Nothobranchius furzeri: one gene and its partner. The protein of the gene in region 2 purifies or fractionates together with the protein of the main gene of each other region. This does not show direct contact. Links are inferred from orthologs where the notes say so. Each region holds a gene or a part of one and is shown on either strand. Other genes may lie near its edges.

Region 1 (5,855 bases), on a different chromosome or scaffold from region 2:
GATTGGTTCATATTTTGATCCAAACATCCGGTGGTAGAACACGAAATGTTAGTTGGTCACATGTATTCTGTAAATCATGTTACGTTGATGATGTTAACTATATAGGCCATAAAGAGAAATGTGATTTGTTTTCTTTTGTCACGTTTCCTATGAGCACACTGAAGCTGCAGCTGATAACCTTTACTTATTATTACAGTCATGTCTCCATATACAATATATGATATCCACAAGCACGTGAGGACGTGTTTCAGCTGCTAACAGGCACCAGAATTAAAATTGAAAATTAAACAAGTATGAACGCTGACGCGATATCTTCAGCCATCGTCACCCCCGAGTTACACATGTAGGGAAATCTGTCCGACTTAAACGCCGGCTTTCAGCCACTCCCCCTGCTGCTTCCGTCTGCTCTCGTCTGTTTTCCAGGCGAGGTGCAGCTCAATTCGAACACGGCCTATATGTCGATGGTTTGCAGGTGGAAAATGAGGTCAAAGGTTAACATCAATTTCCTGTTTTGGTTAAAGTTTTTACTATTTATATGATAATTTACTGATTATTTTTGTTTTGTATGTTAAATATTACCACATCCACACGTTACATTAAAATTAAAGTGTGAAAAAAAAATCTAATATTTACTTTGGGGTGCCATGACTAATCCAGGGGTAGCTATAGCGCCCCCTAGCGCCCCCTGGCGCCGCCACTGCAACCAAGATGAGTCCAAAGTCACTGATGTGGAAGTCCAAGTCCTTAACTTTGATTTTTCAAGTCATAATCAAGTCATCTGTCCAACTTGAATTTAATGATGATGATAATAAATAAATTCCAGAATTAAAGCTTCTTAAAGTTTCATTTATTTGCTCAAACAAGCAGAAAGTGAAGTTGATTATAAACAAAGAGCTGCTGCATTCAGCAGTAAATCAAACCCAGAACCAAGAACGATTCATGATTTTTGTCCATGTCGTGTCACTTTTGTGCTAAAATATCAAATATGTTCAAGTCATCATCACGTCAACAGATGCAAGTCGATTCAAGTCGCAAGTCATTGGCATTCAAGTCCAAGTCAAGTTGTAAGTCTTTATAGATTTTATCAAGTCAAGTCGGAAGTTATTAAAATAATGACTCGAGTCTTACTCAAGTCCAAGTCATGTGACTCGAGTCCACACCTCTGTTTACTGGTGGAGGATCAGCTGATCTGAGATGCTATACGATGATAAACAGGCTCAATCAGCCTTTCAATAATCAGAATCACTGTGAGGTTTAATGTCCAGGCAGCTCAGGAGGATCTAGTTTTGGTGCAGGAGCCAATCAGTCAACACTTATAGGAAAACACACACACACACACACACACACACACACACAGCGTATGAACATCTGGTATGACAAAGATGAATGTGTGTCAAGGTTCAAGTCAATCATTTTCATAGTGCAGTACACTTTGTTGTTGTCCTTGTTAGGGGATGAAGTTGCTGCTCTGGCTCATTCAGCAGCCCAGCTGGAGATCTAAATGTTTGTGCGGCGTGGCTTTTGCTCTAATGGACAAACAGCCAGCTCCCAGAGAAGCTCCAACAGCACAAGTCCAGGGTGAGATGGGTCAGCCACAATCTTTTGTTCCTGCTTTATGCTTCTGCAGGTGAACAGGTCGTGCAGAGAGGGCCGGTTGCAGCCAGTCACCAATACATGAACCACCTGTTCACCTTAAAGAGAACAGCTTCTATTTTCCAGCCTGTGCGTTTGTGACCTGCAGTAATGCGAGAAGTCAGCAGACTTACACATGGGTGTATTTGTCAATCACTTCAATAAGATTTCCAGATACTTTTTTTTTGGTAAAAGCATGAGAAATTGGGGGTGTGGCATGAGAGTAAACAGTAAACAAATTCATGTTATTCTGAATTTGATGGACCAAATACTCATTTTACTTGTAAAAATATGGTCTACTTTTTTCTGCTGTGTAGAATATTTTAAGTATTTCATTTCCGTTGTATGCATGTTTTTACTGCTGGATAATTATCTGTGATGATTCTGAAATGTTGTTGAAAATTTGTACTTCTCCTGTCCAATATGGCGTCGGCTATGAACGAAAAACATATTTAATTTGTCTTATGAACGTGTTTTATACATAGACATATATGTATGTAGTTTTACAGGCTTGTGAATTTTAATTTAGAACTAATTAAGTGCACTTTTGACTTTGTAATAAAGATAAATTTTGTATTAAAAAGTTAAACCACACGCTAAAACACAAATTGGCCAATCATACAGCTTTGAGAATCTCCAACAACCAATCAAAATCCATCAAATCAAACCATCAGTAGCGAGGGGGTGGGACAAGCAATCTGTCGCATCATGGCTCATCTTTGTGAAAGCTAACCTCTCAGAGCTGTAGCCTTTAACTTATTACTAATATTAATATATTTTTGTTTGAACCTACAAGCATCGTTATGGGTTTGCTGACGATTTTGAAGAAGATGAAGCAGAAGGAGCGCGAGATGCGGCTGCTCATGTTGTATCTTTTATTTTTTATAACGGATTAGCCTAGCTAGAAACAAGGTTAGCATCTCAGAATAAAACTTCATCTGCGTTGAATAATAGCAACAAAAGTCTCTTGTACCAGTGTGTCGCTTTATAACCGAGACAAGGAACAGCCGCTTGGCTCCGTAACGCTTTTATTTGCCCTACTTTAACCTGTTAAGTCCCGTTGTGTGTGCTATGCTAGGTTTGTTGTGGTCAGGTGTGTTGTGTTTTCTTTGACCTGTCGCGTGCAGAGGTCTGGACAACGCAGGGAAGACCACCATCCTGAAGAAGTTTAACGGAGAAGATGTCAGCACCATCTCGCCTACACTGGGCTTTAACATCAAAACTCTGGAGCACAGGGGGTAAGTTCGGCGCTGCGCAGGTCTCGCGCGCGCACGCAACACAAAAGGAACGAATTAATGCATCATCTGCTGCTTCCGCGTGACCATTCCACGCCAAGTTATTCCAATCCAGGAAACAAACGGTTTGTTGCACTTTGTGTTTTTTAGGTTTAAGTTGAACATCTGGGACGTAGGTGGTCAGAAGTCTCTACGCTCCTACTGGAGGAACTACTTCGAGAGCACCGACGGGCTGGTGTGGGTGGTGGACAGCGCTGATCGACTCCGACTGGGCGACTGCAGGCAGGAGCTCAGTGCTCTGCTGCTGGAGGAGGTCAAACTGCATCCACTACTACAGATTCAGGCCATTTTTCTGGTTAAAAGTGACATTGGTGACTCGTTGTTGCAGAGAAACAGTGATAAAGACATAAAATCAAAGATCCTTAGAGGCAGATAAGTGATCCTGGTCCTTGGTGGCTGCTTTTACATAAAGAACTTGAAGCATTGAGGTATTCTAACCATTAAATCAGGAACAGGTGCTTCAGATACTTGCAGAAACTACATTGTGTAGACCTACAGTAGTGTGAAATACGGACAAAAGCGAGAAGTGCCTCCACAAAATGATGCTCTTTTTTCCAGTTTAGAGCTGGAGTCTTTGTTTACATCCTGCGTGGTTGTTGACTCTGCAGAGGTTAGCTGGTGCTACGCTGCTGGTGTTTGCCAACAAGCAGGACTTACCAGGAGCATTGTCTAAAGAAGCTATTAGAGAGGTAAGCCCAACTCTCACGTGTTCATAATTAGAAAGCACAACAATCTCATGAGATGTTCTTCTACAGGCGCTGGCACTGGACGACATCAAGAGTCACCACTGGTGTATTATTGGCTGCAGCGCTGTGACGGGGGACAACTTGTTAGCAGGAGTGGACTGGTTAACGGATGATATCGCAGCGAGGATCTTCACTGCTGATTAAGGGTCGGCGGTAACCAAACTTCTGTAAAAACCTGTTTTTTTTTTTCAGCTGATTTGTGCTTCATGATTTATTTTATTAAACTTGATATCTAGGTTTGACTGGTTTATTTGTAGTGTATTAAAATTCCACAAGTCATGAAACTAGCCTTTCTGAAATTGCCTTGGGATGCTAGACCTGGGAGCTAGAACCAGTTGAGTTTTCAGGAAGTTGTTCAGCTTCGTTGCTACAAACGGGTGCCCATCATATTTGTGTTGGTACTCAGGAGAACCCGTGGTTGCTGCTTGGTCTTCACTTTTAATGCACTTAATTCTTAACTCACAATAGGAACAAAACAAACGCGTTGATGCAACATTTTGATTTTGACTGAAAACAAGAAAATGTACATATTGCCAGCTTAACTTAAAACCTAATTTTCAAATAACATGACTGAATTTTCTGAATGTAAAACACAATGTAAATCGCTGCTTATGTGATAAAATCAAATAAAAATTTAAAGCCCTTAATTACCATTTCAGAGCACAGAAGTTTTTTTAAATGGCATAAACACCGTCTTTATTTCTACTCATCGTCCTCATCATGGGCCTGGCTGCGTCCGGCTTCATTGACTTCCCGAACAACTTTCTGATGTTCTCTGCTGTTCGCATGTTTATCAAACGCTGGATGGTTTAAGTTTTTAGTGCCTATGTAAAAGGCGCCGCTGGTCCGCCAGGGTGAGATTTTCACGGCATAATCTGCACCGAATCTGTTAAGTTTGAAGCCAGCTGACCTCCTGCAGCCACTTCCACAAATATTTTTTTGCGGTTCCGACTCAGTCTGAAGTTTTTTTGGAGGCGGAGGAACACCAAAATAATTAATGGAGCTTGCTTCTTGGACATCTTTAATATGCTCCAGAAATGTTTCTTCTTCCAGTCTTAGGTGCACAAATGTGTGCTGAAGCATCCCCCCCCCCGGTACGCATTATTTATTCTGACAGCGCATGCACACCTGAGGATGTGCACACCTGGCAACAAACTACTTAAGTACATAGAAGCTGACATTAGTCAGCATTTTTAGCTGGAGTTGTTTGAGCTCTACTGACACCTAATGGACAAAAATAGGAAAGCAGACTATTCTCCATGTTTTTTTTAAGTTTATTTAAAAATCAGGAAAATGTGAAAAACCTCAAAGCTGTATTTATAAAGCGTCTTCCTGTCAGGAAGCCCAAGGCGCTTAATTAGGTGCACCAGAAATGTTAACCACGATAAATAAAAGCAATCCAAATGGAGCAAATAAAGTAAACCTTAACGTAGAAAACAAGGTAAAACACATTCAGGGAATGCTTAATCTAGAACAAGACCACAACCCAACAGCAAACGTTTGTAGGAGATCAGGAGTACTTCTGCATCCGCTGAGCCTGGAGGAGGAGGAGACTAGTTAGGATGAGAAGAACATCTCAGATCTGGGAAATGTTAAATCACTAGATCAGAAGATACCAATCAGTCACCAAACATCAGACTGGGGCGGTAACACCTGCTCATCACGTCCATTTAGATCATGTTAAGTTTAACGGAGACATGAAACTTACCAAAAGCATTCTGGGTATCTGACCACATCACAGCTGCTGAGCCTAAAGAGAAGACCAGATGTTCATGATCATGAAGCATTTGGCTGCTTAGATCCATTTAAACATCATAAAGTTTGACATCCGGGATGTGATCAGAACCTGGCTTTCAGTCAATTGAACTCAACCAGACCGCCACACCATCAGAACCCAGCAGGTCACCTTACACCTACAGGGGTAGGGTTTTCAGTGCCATACTGGGTCAACAAGAGGGGGTGCTGGCCGAGAACGGTACTATATAGCCATTTCCCTCGACTGGATGGAGGGGGGGTCATCATTTCCACAATCTCAGCATCTACCTTCACCTCAACGCTTACCTGCAGCAGTTCAGGTTTCAGGAGTCAAACGGACCTCCCATCACCAGGAAACCTACAGAGAAAAGGATCAGTGACCCGTTTCGATGGATCTTAATAAAAAGGTCTCTGCAACCATCAGTCT
Region 2 (5,880 bases):
CCTAAAATATTATTAATGTAAAAATATCAACAGAGAAGTGAGGTTGAAGCATTACCGCTATGCAAAAGTAGCAGTTAGATAATGAAGCATCATGGAAATGCTTCACATCACTGTAGCTGATGTAAATGTAGTGAGATTATTCATGTAGTTGGACCTGTTATGGAGCAATCTAGAGATGTAACTCAGACAGATTGGTAATGCCAGAGGTCAAAATTAACATTTCAGAGATTTTAATCATTTCATTTCTAATTTGTAATCTCCTAAAACACAAGTAGAGGAACACAATGTACCATAATCCCACATAGACGGAATTTTGTTAAAGTACAGCAAAAAGTACAGATAACAACTAAAAGAATACTTCAAATGTATTTAAGTACTGTGACCAATTTATATATATGTATAAGTAGCTCAAGCTAGCACCGACATATGGTAACGCAGTCATTTGTGCTTTCAGCAGCTCCTCCCTCTCTAAACAAACATCCACTCGCTGGTTTTTCTTAAAACTAAATCTGAGATGCGTTGAAGACCTGCGAACACCAAGGGTTTTACGTGAGATGTTGCAATCCGTACACACAGGAAGCTAGCTAAACGGGTTAACTCGTGATTAAATATCTACGCTATCGATGTACTAAAGAGCACGGCAGCAGATGAAACAACTGTTTACATTTCACACCATTAAACTTTACTCCAAACCATTTGTTTTCTTTCAGCTTCCGTTATTTGGTTAATATAAAGCAACTCACCAGTTCAGAATGAAATTAAACCAGTTTCCAGGTTGCTAAGACGTCGCTCCTCAGTAGGAATCAAAAAAATGTCTGTTGTTTAGAGGGGAATGTTTACTGACCACGCCCATCCTCACTGCAAACCATTTATGTGATTTGTTTACTGACATCTAGCGGTGGGCGCGAGAACTGCAACTCACAGATGATGTGATAGACAGACAGACAGACATGTTATCAATCAGTACTAAAAGAACGGGAAAAAGCTATTCTGAATAAAAACAATTGTTGCACATTGCAGTCCATACATGAAGAACAGAAATAAAAAAAATCAAATCAATCCTAAAACAACAAGTCACGGTGGATGGAAAACTATAACTATAATTTGATGTTGATGATAATGTTTAATTGTAATTAATTCTGTCAAATAATGTTGAAGCTCTATATTTACCGGTCGATCTAATTCTCACTTATGGTCACAAGCTTTGGAGACCGAAAGAATGAGATTGCGGTTACAAGCGGCCAAAATGAGTTTTCTCTGCAGGGTGGCTGGGCTCTTCCTTAGAGATAGGGTGAGAAGCTCAAGCTCGGTCATCTGGGAGGGGCTTGAAGTAGACCTGCTGCTCCTTCACATTGAAAAGAGCCAGTTGAAGTAGCTCATGCATCTGGTTAGGATGCTTCCTGGATGTTTTCCTGGTGAGGTTTTTCCGGGCATGTCCAAACAGGAGGAGAACCGAAGAAAGACCCAGGACATGCTGGTGGGAATATGTCTCTCACCTTGGGATTCCCTTGGAAGAGCTGGCCCAAGTGACTAGGGAGAGGGAAGTCTGGGCCTCCCTGCTTAGGCTGCTGCCCCCAATGGAAAATGGATGGATGGATGAATAATGCTGATAGTTGTGTTTTTGTGAATGATTGTGAAGCAGAAAATCCATTCATTGATTTTTTTTGTATCTCCCTTTTTCTGTAAGGGTCATGAGGAGCTGTTACAACTGAGCAGGCAAGGGGAATGGGACACTGTAGACAGGTCACAAGTCCATCACAGACATGCAAGTGGAGACAAACAAGACAAGCAACCAATCACACACACACACACACACACACACACACACACACACGTAGGAAAAAGAGTTGCCCATCAAATCAAACTTATACATTTTTGTTCTGTGGGGCCCATCTGTGCCACCTATACACACAATCAGCCAATCAGATCTAGTCATACTGTTTTATTGGTCTAACCAACGTTTTCAGTATATTATCAAAATAAAGAAAAGACAGAGTTTAAAGGAGCTAACTGTCATTCTGCCCCAACTGCACACTGGAATTGCTGCCATCTGTTTTCTCACACAGTCGCAGCGATGATCAGCCCCGGCTGACACTAAAACAGCTGTAATGCATATTTCTGGACACCAGCTGGTAAAATTCTGGTCAATCTCCTTTTCCAATTCCCACTCCCTGATCTGCAGCCGACACGTTCCTCCTCCCCCTGCCGGTCCTCTCGGCCAATCGGCGCGTGCAGAAGCGTGTTGTGGGCGTGGCCGCGCCCCTCTCTGGAGACGCTCCAGCCTTATAAATCCATTGTCCCCCCGGTCTCTTGTCACAAGTCGGCTCGTGCTCGTCCACTTTAATCACATCGCACCTTTTTTCCCGTGAAACCTTCGCACCCATCATGAGGGAGATCGTGCACATCCAGGCCGGCCAGTGTGGTAACCAGATCGGTGCCAAGGTAAGCTCAGAAAATCTGTATAAAATGTTTCTGTGGAATAAAACAGGAGTTACTTTTGCGTTACTTTGTCTAAAGCATTCACAATTACTGTTATATGGATTTATTAACTGATGAAGATAAAGAAATTTACATAAATATGTAATGAAATAAAAAAGTAGTAATGGTCCAGTCTTTGTGAGCACTGCAGTGCACACAACACCGGGTGTGTCTGCGTCCCAGCTCCTAGGATTCAGCCCATCTCAACGCACTGATTTAGGGAAAAAGACAAAGGAAAGAGGGGAAAATGACTCTTTTCTTCTCATGTCAGACCCCCACAGCCTGTGGAGCCTTCACTCTGCTTGCTTTGTCTGGCCCAGGCTGATATGACTGGTGTTTCAGACAATGAGTGGAAGTCTGGATTAAAGGCCTAGTTACCCCCCACCCCCAGATGTCTATGAATCAATAGCACATATTGATTAGATTTGAGTTCTGCAGGCTGCAAAGGCAGACTGCAGGGTGAGCTATTCTATTGGGACGTGATGGAAGGGTGTGGCATGAATAATTGTGAGAAGACAAGTCATTCTCTCCTTTTTTCTGCAAAAAAACACCCTTATGTGTTATTTACTATAATATTCTATTCATCTGATATAATTTGTCATTGCATCATTTAATAGTAAAGTCTAAAATGTTCATCAATGACATCACCCGCCCAGTCTGTCTCTTAGCAGCCGCAGTCTGCAACAATAGGTCTGGGTGGCCCATTATTTCTGCTGTCTTATTGTCTTATTTTTGTTTTACAACTGATCATTTGTAAACGCATGCACACGCTCAAATCCATGCCCTGGAATTAAGAACCCATGAACATTAGCCCGGATTAATGAAGGGTGATCTTTCTGGCTGAGATGTCCTGGAAAGCAGAATCTTTCCTCCCCTAACCAAATTAAGAGAAGGGTGGGGGAGGAATGGAGGAAACAGCTGATGCACAGCGGACGCAAAGTCTCCATTTCCAGTGGCCTTAATGGGCAATAGTTGTCTTCCCAAAGGCACACAACAGATGGCCTTTATATTTTATTAGACATATTTTTATCAAGCTTGTACTGTTAATCATTTTCCCTTGTTCGGGTCACCGCTTTGGCCTGTATGATCGGCTAAAACTACTAGGAGTGGTCTATCAGAGAGCCAACTCGTTTGTTTCCGTCCCCTGGGGGCTCATCGACTCCGATGTGCAGGATTTATGACGGCCAGAGATGCTGAGCGGCTGCACGGTGGTCAAATGGGTCAGGGTGTGGCCTTGCTTTTCCTGCTCGTTGTCCTCATTCTTTCACTGTGATCTTCATCATCACTGATGGGCCGTCCATCAGTTTCTGTCTTCTCACTTCTGCGTCTCTAGCATCGCTCACCCTCGTCTCGTGACATTTAAATGTCAAGATTTGTACTCCACAGCCGTTTGTCTGCAGTGCAGCCGGCGTTAACGGGAGGCTGTAAAGTCTCATTTTGCAGCTGAATACCATAAATCTAAGTGAATGTGTAAAAAAGCAGGAAATGCAGACATGCAGAGGATTTCCTACAGTATCTTAGTGGATTTAATGCGTACCCAGCCTCCCAGAGCTCCGTGGGCTTTTAAAGCCGGAGCAGGACTTGAATACAAATTTAAAGGCCCTCATTGTCCTCGGTGTTGTGTGAGACGCCTTTTTCATTTTCAGTTTGGCCTTCGGAGTGATCAGTGGCTCCTTTGTGCTCCTCCTCCTTCACGTTTTACATATGAAAGCGTTGCATAGCTTTCTGCAGAGTCATGAGCTGGCAGCTTTGGAAATATTTGCAGCTGCTCTGCAGGAAACTGCTTGAATCCTAGCGTATCCTCCAGAATATAAATATGCAAACCCATTGCTGTTATCCTCATTTAAAGTCCCAAAAGGCCTGTAGCTTAGAAGTGAAATGAGTCCCGTCATGTGATTCCTGTCTGCAGTTCTGGGAAGTGATCAGCGACGAGCACGGCATCGATCCCACTGGGACGTACCACGGAGACAGCGACTTGCAGCTGGACAGGATCAGCGTCTACTACAACGAGGCCACAGGTAGACCGTCGTCCTGAAAGGCTTTTCATGACATAAGATGTGCTGTTCCATAATATTTTTGTCCATTGCATTGCTAAGCTGCGATGTAAATGTTACGGTTTCCTCTTTTCCCTTCTGCTCTCCCGTTCACTTTCCTGTGGAGGAGGTAAATATGTTCCCAGGGCCATTCTTGTGGATTTGGAGCCCGGGACCATGGACTCTGTGAGGTCTGGACCTTTTGGGCAAATCTTCAGACCTGACAATTTCGTCTTTGGTGAGTGTCTTCCAGAGAAATCCTTTTACAATATCTGTGATCTGTATGAACTTAGAAAACAAAGTCTCACTTCTTCCACAGGCCAGAGTGGTGCTGGAAACAACTGGGCCAAGGGTCACTACACAGAGGGGGCCGAGTTGGTGGACTCGGTCCTGGATGTGGTCCGTAAAGAGTCCGAGAGCTGTGACTGCCTGCAGGGCTTCCAGCTCACCCACTCTCTTGGAGGTGGGACTGGATCTGGAATGGGAACCCTCCTCATCAGCAAGATTCGTGAGGAGTACCCAGACCGAATCATGAATACCTTTAGCGTGGTGCCTTCCCCCAAGGTGACCCGTCCTTGTGATAGTGCCTGAAAAGTTCTGTTTTTAATTAGAGTTTGTTTAGCCGTAGGGTCTTCTGCTAACATCACAAGACCGAATCAACACTGTGTGTGTTTACAGGTGTCGGACACGGTGGTAGAACCCTACAACGCCACCCTATCAGTACATCAGCTTGTAGAGAACACAGATGAAACTTACTGCATTGACAACGAGGCTCTGTATGACATTTGCTTCCGCACACTGAAGCTGACCACACCCACCTATGGTGACCTGAACCACCTGGTCTCTGCCACCATGAGCGGTGTCACCACATGCCTGCGATTCCCAGGCCAGCTCAATGCTGATCTCCGCAAATTGGCTGTCAACATGGTGCCTTTCCCTCGTTTGCACTTCTTCATGCCAGGCTTTGCACCCCTGACCAGCCGGGGCAGCCAACAGTACCGCGCCCTGACCGTTCCCGAGCTCACCCAGCAGGTGTTTGACGCCAAGAACATGATGGCTGCGTGCGATCCTCGTCACGGCCGCTATCTGACCGTCGCCGCTGTGTTCCGAGGCCGCATGTCCATGAAGGAGGTCGACGAACAAATGCTCAACGTTCAGAACAAGAACAGCAGTTACTTTGTTGAATGGATCCCCAACAACGTCAAGACCGCCGTCTGTGACATTCCACCTCGTGGCCTTAAGATGGCTGTCACCTTCATAGGCAACAGCACGGCCATCCAGGAGCTGTTTAAGCGCATCTCTGAGCAGTTCACAGCCATGTTCCGCCGCAAGGCCTTCTTGCATTGGTACACAGGTGAAGGTATGGATG

The links. Proteins that work in one complex are often made in the same cells at the same time.
Region 1: the proteins of tubb5 (region 2) and arl2 purify together in Homo sapiens (co-immunoprecipitation; 3 studies listed by BioGRID and IntAct, counting the BioPlex papers as one, with this or other methods). This does not show direct contact. The link is inferred for Nothobranchius furzeri from reciprocal best matches to the Homo sapiens genes TUBB and ARL2.

Annotation. Positions count from the first base shown.
Region 1 is NC_091754.1:61,092,760-61,098,614, forward strand, and holds arl2 (ADP-ribosylation factor-like protein 2), read left to right. Parts: upstream 1-2,307; 5' UTR 2,308-2,435; coding exon 2,436-2,500; intron 2,501-2,759; coding exon 2,760-2,870; intron 2,871-3,017; coding exon 3,018-3,180; intron 3,181-3,535; coding exon 3,536-3,616; intron 3,617-3,682; coding exon 3,683-3,817; 3' UTR 3,818-4,326; downstream 4,327-5,855. UniProt on the Homo sapiens protein: Small GTP-binding protein which cycles between an inactive GDP-bound and an active GTP-bound form, and the rate of cycling is regulated by guanine nucleotide exchange factors (GEF) and GTPase-activating proteins (GAP).
Region 2 is NC_091745.1:74,452,547-74,458,426, forward strand, and holds the start of tubb5 (tubulin beta-5 chain), read left to right. Parts: upstream 1-2,285; 5' UTR 2,286-2,385; coding exon 2,386-2,442; intron 2,443-4,387; coding exon 4,388-4,496; intron 4,497-4,638; coding exon 4,639-4,749; intron 4,750-4,830; coding exon 4,831-5,075; intron 5,076-5,189; coding exon 5,190-5,880. UniProt on the Homo sapiens protein: Tubulin is the major constituent of microtubules, a cylinder consisting of laterally associated linear protofilaments composed of alpha- and beta-tubulin heterodimers.